Linked DNA regions of Daphnia pulex. The main gene of each other region encodes a partner of the protein of the gene in region 2 in a complex. Links are inferred from orthologs where the notes say so. Each region holds a gene or a part of one and is shown on either strand. Other genes may lie near its edges.

Evidence for each region. The genes of interacting proteins can lie anywhere in the genome.
Region 1: gem-associated protein 5-like (region 2) and gem-associated protein 2-like share a complex: the UniProt entries of both Homo sapiens proteins name them as parts of the SMN-Sm complex. The link is inferred for Daphnia pulex from reciprocal best matches to the Homo sapiens genes GEMIN5 and GEMIN2.

What each region holds. Positions count from the first base shown.
Region 1 is NC_060025.1:2,087,011-2,090,620, reverse strand, and holds gem-associated protein 2-like, read right to left. Parts: upstream 2,185-3,610; 5' UTR 2,109-2,184; coding exon 2,005-2,108; intron 1,934-2,004; coding exon 1,849-1,933; intron 1,791-1,848; coding exon 1,635-1,790; intron 1,565-1,634; coding exon 1,454-1,564; intron 1,399-1,453; coding exon 1,120-1,398; 3' UTR 981-1,119; downstream 1-980. Other genes in the region: endoplasmic reticulum protein SC65-like, read left to right, coding at 2,587-2,947, 3,012-3,064, 3,129-3,453, 3,523-3,610. UniProt on the Homo sapiens protein: The SMN complex catalyzes the assembly of small nuclear ribonucleoproteins (snRNPs), the building blocks of the spliceosome, and thereby plays an important role in the splicing of cellular pre-mRNAs.
Region 2 is NC_060024.1:12,896,744-12,901,872, reverse strand, and holds the start of gem-associated protein 5-like, read right to left. Parts: upstream 3,296-5,129; 5' UTR 3,169-3,295; coding exon 2,964-3,168; intron 2,900-2,963; coding exon 2,775-2,899; intron 2,718-2,774; coding exon 2,480-2,717; intron 2,412-2,479; coding exon 2,371-2,411; intron 2,302-2,370; coding exon 2,017-2,301; intron 1,958-2,016; coding exon 1,603-1,957; intron 1,541-1,602; coding exon 1,004-1,540; intron 930-1,003; coding exon 778-929; intron 722-777; coding exon 48-721; intron 1-47. Other genes in the region: CD63 antigen-like, read left to right, coding at 3,621-3,686, 3,766-3,945, 4,027-4,197, 4,253-4,378, 4,444-4,593; E3 SUMO-protein ligase RanBP2-like, read right to left, coding at 4,822-4,937, 5,031-5,129. UniProt on the Homo sapiens protein: The SMN complex catalyzes the assembly of small nuclear ribonucleoproteins (snRNPs), the building blocks of the spliceosome, and thereby plays an important role in the splicing of cellular pre-mRNAs.

The DNA of each region.
Region 1 (3,610 bases), on a different chromosome or scaffold from region 2:
AATAAAAATACACACAAAATAAAAAAAAAACTAAAAAGAAAATAAATTCACTTGAGTTTTAAATTTCATTTTAAATATAATAATAAATATATTTGTACATGTGAGTGTGTGTGTGTGTTTGTGTCTTAACATCATCATTTATATACTGCTGCGTGTCGTTCACATGAGAAGAAGAAAAGAAAAAAAGACGTGAAAATTTCTTTTTCTTTATTTACCAGCCCTCACCACCACGCCCGCCCATCTATGCTATTGCTGCTGCTACCTCTTGTCCCCAGTGTCTGCCCTCCCACATAAAATCAATGCTCCCCTCTACCCTCCATCCAAAGTATATTTGGCCATATCCTTATATCCCCCCTTTTTTTCATCGTGTTTTTTTGTTTTTTTCCTTTTTGTCGGATCCGTTTTTACTTTGTCGAGTTTCTCCTCCGCCGTCGATCCCAGATGTCACATTCACACTTTCAATATTTAAAAAAGAAGAAAAAATGTTTCATGATATAATATTGAATTTTTGCGACAGTTTCATCTGCTGAAGGAGAACACAACGGAGGAGATTGGATGCAGTAAATAAAACAAAACAAAAAACAAAAAAATGAATAAAAAAGAAACAATATATATAAGAAATATATTGGCATCGCCTCTCCTTACACTTTTTCGTTTCCTTCCTGTGTTGGTTCGTTCAATCGATGGGAAAGTTCAAATTTTTCTAACGTATCTCTATATACTGTTGAATCAATGGAATTGTGAAGAAACACACGCAAATTCTAATTCTAAAATCTCTGTCCGACCTTCCCTTCAATTCTTTCTTCCTCCAGCTATTATACATGTAACTGCTATAATCTTCTTATTTTCACCCACCACTTTTGCCATCACTGAAAAATGGGGGAGAAAAAAAAAACGAATGCAACTCAGCTCCTCTTCCTATCCCTCCCGAATAAAAAACAAAAAAAGTGTTAAATGTAATACCATCAGCCACATGCATGTTCTTATTCACCCACGATCTTTACTATATTTACCATCAGTCATTTTTTATTTCTTACAAAATGGCGAGCAAAAGAAAAATAAAATAAAAATACAATGCGGGAAATGTGTTACCAGAAATGTTCGTTGTTCGCGTTTAAATCATTTCATCGGATCGGCTAAATCACTTTGATCAAAGTAACGACCGACTAGACATATGAAAAGATTGAGCTGGGCCAACAGCGGGTCGTCGACCGAGGTTAATTGAACTCGGAATGTGCTACACAAACGTGCCAGTGTTCTGATGAGGCTACACATTTCGGGTTTCAAAGGTTTCTCCAATTTGGCAAGTAGAGCGTAGAGCCACTGACCCCTTTGCTGAGTAAAATTCGTCTCCTCCAGCCATTGTACGTTGTACTCTAGTAGAGTCTCCACCATAAACTGCATCAACAGAAATAATAGTGTGAATGCTGAGAAGTAGGTGACTTTCATATACCTGGTTGAGGGATAAAATGATGGGGAGCATAGGTGGTGTTCCACAAGGCTTTTCATCCTCAGGGTTACCATAGCACAACACTGACCATTCCTTTTCTTTGTCTCCAGCAGGCTACAATTGGAAGGGATAATTAAGACCAAACTCATTTATCTGGAAGCCATTGCAACAGCAAAGATCTTACCAGGGTTGTATTCGGTTTCATTTGAATTCCTTGTTTTTTCAGCCTGGCCAAGTGTTTTGCCATGCGGCTCCTGAGGCAGGAAAACTGAGAGACTTGGAATTGTTGCCATTCTTTTGAAGGTAGGAAAACTTCTGGTGCAGGTGGGCAGCCAGAGTCCTGAATTTACACAGAAATGACAGACTAGATCAATAAATTTGAATAAAATGAAACTTACCGTAGTGTATTTGACAGTTTGGGCTTTGAGCTTCTTTCCTTTCATATCGGCAACTACAACCGCTTCGCATTTTCGCGATTCGACTCTATCCAAATAAACCGGCAGCATGAATTTATAGTGATACAATTTATTAACACACAAGTTTTCATGACTTACATAACTCTTCTCAAGTATTCTTGGCCTGTACTGGGCGCAGACTCAAAATCGATATCCTCGTCTGTTTCCTCGACGTAAAGCGCTTTATGGAGGAACTCATCCATGCCTGGAATTTCACAAATGATTTCAGTTGTTTGTTTTGAAGTTTAAGTTGTCGTCTGCGGTTCTGCGCCACTATTTGCTCAGACGCAAGCGACATCTACATCACTTTAATTTGTCAGCTCTATTTACTTAAAAATTTAAATTATTGCACTTACCTGTCATCTCACGATTCACGGTTAAAAAACCACCAGCAATTGAAAAATATAATTCAAATTTGAAAGAATTCAAGATTAATTAATTTCATGATTGCGTTATTCATAATTGGCAATGTTGCTTTTAAGTCAAAACATTGAAACACGAGAATTTGTTTAAGGTTTTTAACAGATGTTTTCTCACGCATATATGTACCCCTCTTCTTTGCATAGGGCATCTTGACTGTTAACGTGGAGCAGTCACAAAGATAACCTCCCCTTGCTCCATAGCTCCATAGTCTGCCCATGTTATTTTATTTTGTCAAGCCTTATTATATATTGTAAGAATATGTTGTTTAAAGCTTGTTTTTTGTCCCTCTTGGTTTACTTTTGCTCTGCTACAAAAGCTGATCCTGCCAATTCGTACGATATTCTTTACAGCCAGGCAGTAGAAGCATATCTAAATGAGCAATGGGATGAGTGCGTCACGCGTATGAACGAAGCCATTGAAGATTATCATTTTTACAAAGATGCTGTGGTGGGCTGTCGATTGGAATGTCTCAAGGAATCTTTTGACAAACCGTTGGTGTCTCCACAGTTGGAAGATATGAAATTATGGGAAAAGATGATAAAGAAGACACTTTGCTTACTGAAATGCAAGAAAGATATTTTGAAGAACCGTGCAGAAATTGTTGACCGTAAAGTTGCAGGTTAGACAGTCTTATCTTCATCAAATATGTTTTCTGTTTTTAAAAATTTTTACATTTTAAACAGATGATTTTGACACTTTGAAACCTTATGACTATCTTCAGCTTTGCTACTTCAAGGTTAGTATCCTACATCACATTTTCTTTATTATTTACTTAAACTTTTGTGTTTGGATTATTTCAGACCAACGATAATATCAAGGCAGCTTCCTGTGCCTACACTTTCTTAACTATGAATTTAAACCATACTGTGATGAAAGAAAATCTTAGATTTTTCATCAATGAATTGAAAGTGGATCCCAACTATGTCATCAACCTTGAAGCTAAACCCTATGTTGAATTCTACATTCGTGGCAGTGAATCCTACAAAAAGAAGGACTATGACAGAACTACAACCAACATGGAGCTTTCCTTGGTAGAATACTTGCAAGCAGAAGAAGAATGCAGAGCTCATTGTGAGGGTCCCTTTGATCAAGGCTGGTTTCCTGATTTCATTTCCAGCATCTCAAGTATGTTTATACAACATCAAAGCAGGTTTCAGTGGTACCTATAAATATGGAGATTGATTATTTGTTTAGATCACTACACTTTCACATTGCGCTGTAAGCGAAAGTGTGCTAACAAACTGGGAAACTTGAATGGCGAGAAACATGACGATCTCCTTCC
Region 2 (5,129 bases):
AATGATCGTCGAGTCTCATCTTGTGATTTAAAAAATGGCCAACTTACTCCAAAGAGACTTGAGGAGCCAAACTAACAAGCCAATCATTAAGCTGCCTTTTCTTTACAGCTTCTCGTAGCATCGATTCGACATCTCCTTGCCAGATTCTCAAATGAGCTGCTAGATCTGAATTAGAACCTTCTTGATGATGGTCGATCTCCTCCTGGAGCATTTGAACTGTGGAATCCCGGCTAGCAAAAAAGCCCAGATGAGCCAACTCGGCATCTCCGAAATCAGAGGCAGGACATGTAAAGGATTCCGGATCTTCGCCAATGACGGAATGTTTTAGAGTCACTCCTTTCAGGGTAGCCAATATTTTGCAGTCTTTCAAACCCTCGATTCGGCCACGGGCTTCAAGAGTGGCGCTAACCGGGAACAATGATTTCAGCTTACTCGGTGGCTTCTTTTTAGTTGTGCCACTTGAAGTTGCATGGCGACCAACAAAAGAAGAAGATTGAGGGGGTTTGTATGGTATTTTCTTTCGTTCCTTCAACGTTTTGACTGCAATAGATTCGGCAGGTGTCTTGTAGACTTGTTCTTTAACTTTCCACATTCGAATAGTCATGTCGTCTCCTCCTGTAACGGCCGTATCCTGTTCTAATGCGTTCCATTCGCAACAAAGCAATCTTCCGGTATGGCCACCAAAATTAGCCACTTGCTCTTTGTTGATCACGTCCCAAACCTGCAAATGCAAGTAAAAATAAAAGGGTATAATTAAAAAGTCTAAGAATGATTTACCTGTGCGGTTCCATCATAACTGGCAGAAAGAAGCTTTCCATCTTCATGTGGGCTCCAAGCCACCGACACCACACGTTCTTTATGACCGCTTAGAGTAGCCGCAAGTGTGGATGTTGCGGGTTCGTCGTTGTTGGCAACGACGACGCTAAAAACTGGAACAAAAGTAAAAAGGCGTCAGTCAGTCAATAAAACAAAAGGGGTCAAGATAGTTAAAATTTACACGTACCTTTGATGTTCACATCGTTTGAAGCCACTGCCAACCAGTTTTCAAATTTGGAAGGTTCCACACTTTGGAAAGTGAATGGCGGATGCCATTTAAGGCATTGAATAAGTTTTTTATGCGCAACGATAATCGTTAGCAAAGATAAATCGCCGCCTGAATAGATTTCCACAGAACCGTCTTCGTTGCCTACGGCTAGAAGAGAAAAGTCCACTTTCCATTGAAATTCCGTACGCGAAGGGAACTTTTGATTTTTTTCTCCTTTGCTTGCGATCAAATTATTGAAATTTTTTGCTTCCGTATCTAATGCTGATGGATCGTGAACCATAATGTTGTTCCCACCACAAGAGTAGAGGAATATCCCTTCCTTAGACGGCAGGGTAGCCCAGGATAAATTGTATACGGTACCCTTGTGGTAAGTGCGACTCAATTGAGGTGGTTTAGTTAGCGACAGTGTGTCAAATATTCCTACGCGTCCTTCATCGGTTCCAAATGCCAACCGGCCCTCTATTGTCGGATGCCACGCTAATCCACTCACTTTGCCTGTTATGATTGAATTGCAATTTTACTCTCTATACTGCATAAGTAGATTATATATTCATCACCTTTGATTCCATTCCACAGCATCATCATGTCAGGTTTCGCAGCTGCCATATTCCATAGTCTGATGGAGCAGTCTCCCAATCCCACAGCCATTTGGGATGAATCGATGGGATTGATATTCATGACGTAGATGAAACCACCCATGGTTGGCATACAAAGATGCGGATTCTCCATTTCTTGAATGCCTAACACTTCTTTTGGTACGTGGCCTTCCACTATGGGCCAAAGAATAACATTACGATCCTGCGCCGAAGTCCAAATCATTTCCTGGTTTTCTCCAGTCATGTATGAAGAAATATTGAAGAGTCCACGGCTGTGAAGCTTGTGAACGATCTTCCAAGACAATTTGGGCCCAACCTACAGCAAAACAAATTGATTAAATTCATGCAAATAAAAATTTAACTTAAAATTCTGACCTCCCACAAGATAAGTTCACCACTGAGTCCACTGCTCAAAATATGTTTTTCGTTTAGCCAATGTAAGGCTACCCAGGTCGCACGTTTATCATCCTGAGTAGACCGAGGGCGATGGACTCCAGTATTGCCAGGAAGTTTTGATTGGCTGACACATTTTCCTTCGTTAGTGGCCCAGATTTTAATAGTTTTATCTCGGCCCGAAGTCGCCAAGAATGTTTCCTTCTTTTCTTTTTCACAAATAAATACATTTCCTTTCAAAGGGCACCAAACGATGTTGTGTAGATCCTAAAAGAATTTGTTGTGAATTAATGACGACACTTCATGGGAAAACGCAAAACTGGTTAAACTTATTACATCTTCGTGAGCTCGCAGTTTATGAATTATACCACGGTTTTCTAAATGAAATCAATGATATGTGTGATGAAAAATCATGATAATGTTAGAGCAAGTACTGAATCATTACCTCTAACATCACATATGTACAGCAATCCACCTTTACAGCCAATGGCCAGCTGCCATGGAATGTGGGGATTGAATGACAGCATAAGAGGGTTTATTTTCCCATAATTGAGCTTCCGAGTGCTGCAACTCTCATAGCTCAATAGTAGCTCTGTTATTATGATGGTCCCATCTTCACTTGATGATGCCAAGATTTTCTTATCCAGTAGAGAAGACCAACTTAGACAAGAAATTTTTTGCTCCTAGAAAAAGATGTCAAATTAGATTTGTAGCTTGACAATATGTTTTACAAATATTACCTGATGTGCATTTTGTTCAAATACAAGACTCAAATCATTATATTTCCATATACAAATAGAACCATCTTCTCCAGCACTACTCAGCAACAAATTATTCTCTTCTGAGGGCTGATACCAAGACACACCTTCATATGAAAACAAAACCGATTAATTGAAAAGTGAACCTAAGGAAGTTTATGCTAAACTAACAAGTAATTTTATTCCTGTGGGCGTCCGGGATGACATTAGTTGTAGGATAACTGAAATTATCTCCTACATTACAAGATTTCACAAAGACGAGGCATCGCGAAGCAGCATAAACTAATACTCCAGACTTTTTGTGACATTCAAAAGCACCACTCAGATACCAATTTGGAGATGGAGGAATCACAATCTCTTTTTTATTTTCTGTCATCCTACAAGTTTAACTTGTACAATTTCTTTAAGTTGAAAACTAAATCTTACATATACGCACCATGTGCGAACAATTTCAAAACAACGTGCACAGACGACAAAGGTGGTGCTAAACAGTAAACCTTACTAAAAGCAGATATTACATAATTTATTTTTGAGATGGGATAAGTTAAGAAGTTGTAATAATTCTTTAAATAACGCTCAGAAAAAATTCGTTATTATGAATCATGAGCGATCCTTCGTGTTGCATAAAATAAAACAATTCTTGGCCGCTTCCAAGGGTAGCTCGAATTGTTCCTCATCAAATCAGAAATCAACGAACCTTGTTCGAAATGTGCGCGTCAAAAGGAATTCGTCACTTATTTCGAAGAATAGCTTACGCTCATAAACGTCGATAGATGTGTGAATGTAGGCTGATATTGTTTGTCATGTTCCAGAGTTTCAGTGAGCAATATGGAGACCGGAAGATGCAGTTTCGCTTGTGCATTTCTACATTTGTTCATAAATGTTCTATTACTGGTACGCTTAATTCTTTATTATTTACGAAAACTCATTGCAATCAATGAGTGACACAAGTAATTATTACGAAACATGGTAGGTTCTCGGAATGTGTTTACTTGGATTTGGACTAGCTGAAGAATCTACTCGGCTAACATCCATACTCTCGGCTGAATTGAAAATCGGAAGTCTTGCTGTTGTCATAGGAGTCATACTGATCGTTATGACGACGCTTAACTGTTGTTTCACTATTGACGGCAGTTCTGTTTTTTACTACATAGTGAGTAAAATAAAAATAATTTTCTTTCTCCCTATCTGTATCCGTAGTGAATCGTATTAAAGAGACGTTGACACTTGACAGTATGCAGGTTTCCTCGTACTGTTGTTCATTGCCATGGTTGGACTTTTGGTGGCGTTCGGTCCTGATTTCGGTACTAAAGTCAAGCAAGACATTAGAGAGTCTATGCGCGAAATGATGTATTTCGATCCCGACGGAAGTGGGAAAACTGGAATGGATATCACCCAACAAATGGTAAATTAGTTTACTTGGAAATTAGTCGGCTGACGTGATAAAGCGCTTGGTTTAGTTCCAGTGTTGTGGCGTTGATAGCTACAAGGACTGGAACAGCGTAGCAGGATATTCATTCATTCCTGATTCCTGTTGCGTTAAATCAGGATGCGACACTTCCTATCTGAAGAATATATACCAAGAAGTAATTAAATATTATTATTAATCAGTTACATTAAATTTAGTTTAAACTTAATTCTCACTTTACAGGATTGTGTCTCGAGCATGATGAAGTCGGTCGATGCCCTCTTCGCCAAAATAACCGCAATTGGGATTGCCATTACGATATTCCTACCTTTTCAAATCATTCTTGTCATTTTTCTAGTCCGCTGCGTTCCGAGTGATCCTGTCTATCAATAGTTAATTTGTTTGTTGCTACAAAAAGGAAAAATTTGATTGTGAAAAGAATAGACGCCCGTATCAGGTCATCTCAATTTATTGTTACGAATTAATCACACTGTGGAAAGGCCCGCAAAAGTACAATCGAGGGTGAAAAAACGAGTGAGTTCAATCATTGACAACTGAAAGAAACGTCATATCAAAAAGGGGGGTATCCCCCTGACCTACCAAAAAATAGGCAGAAAACATTTAATTCACATCATTTAAAATATCTGATAGCGCTCGGGCTAATTTTGGATCACAAGCACGAACAAGTACTGCCGGCTTGAAAGACGTGACGGCTCCTTCAGATGGCATGGATTGACCTGCAAAAGCTTAGGTGCTTAAGCTCTCTCTCGGAACATTTATTAACGATGAAAAAATCTATCTCCTCTCTCCGGATGTTCATTAAAACTTGCCTTCGACATAGTCTCCGTGATCGTCATTGCTATGGTCGTAGCCGGCTGCGTGTAAATCAGGCTCGTCGTGTACATCAGATTTCTCTGCATACTGCTTCG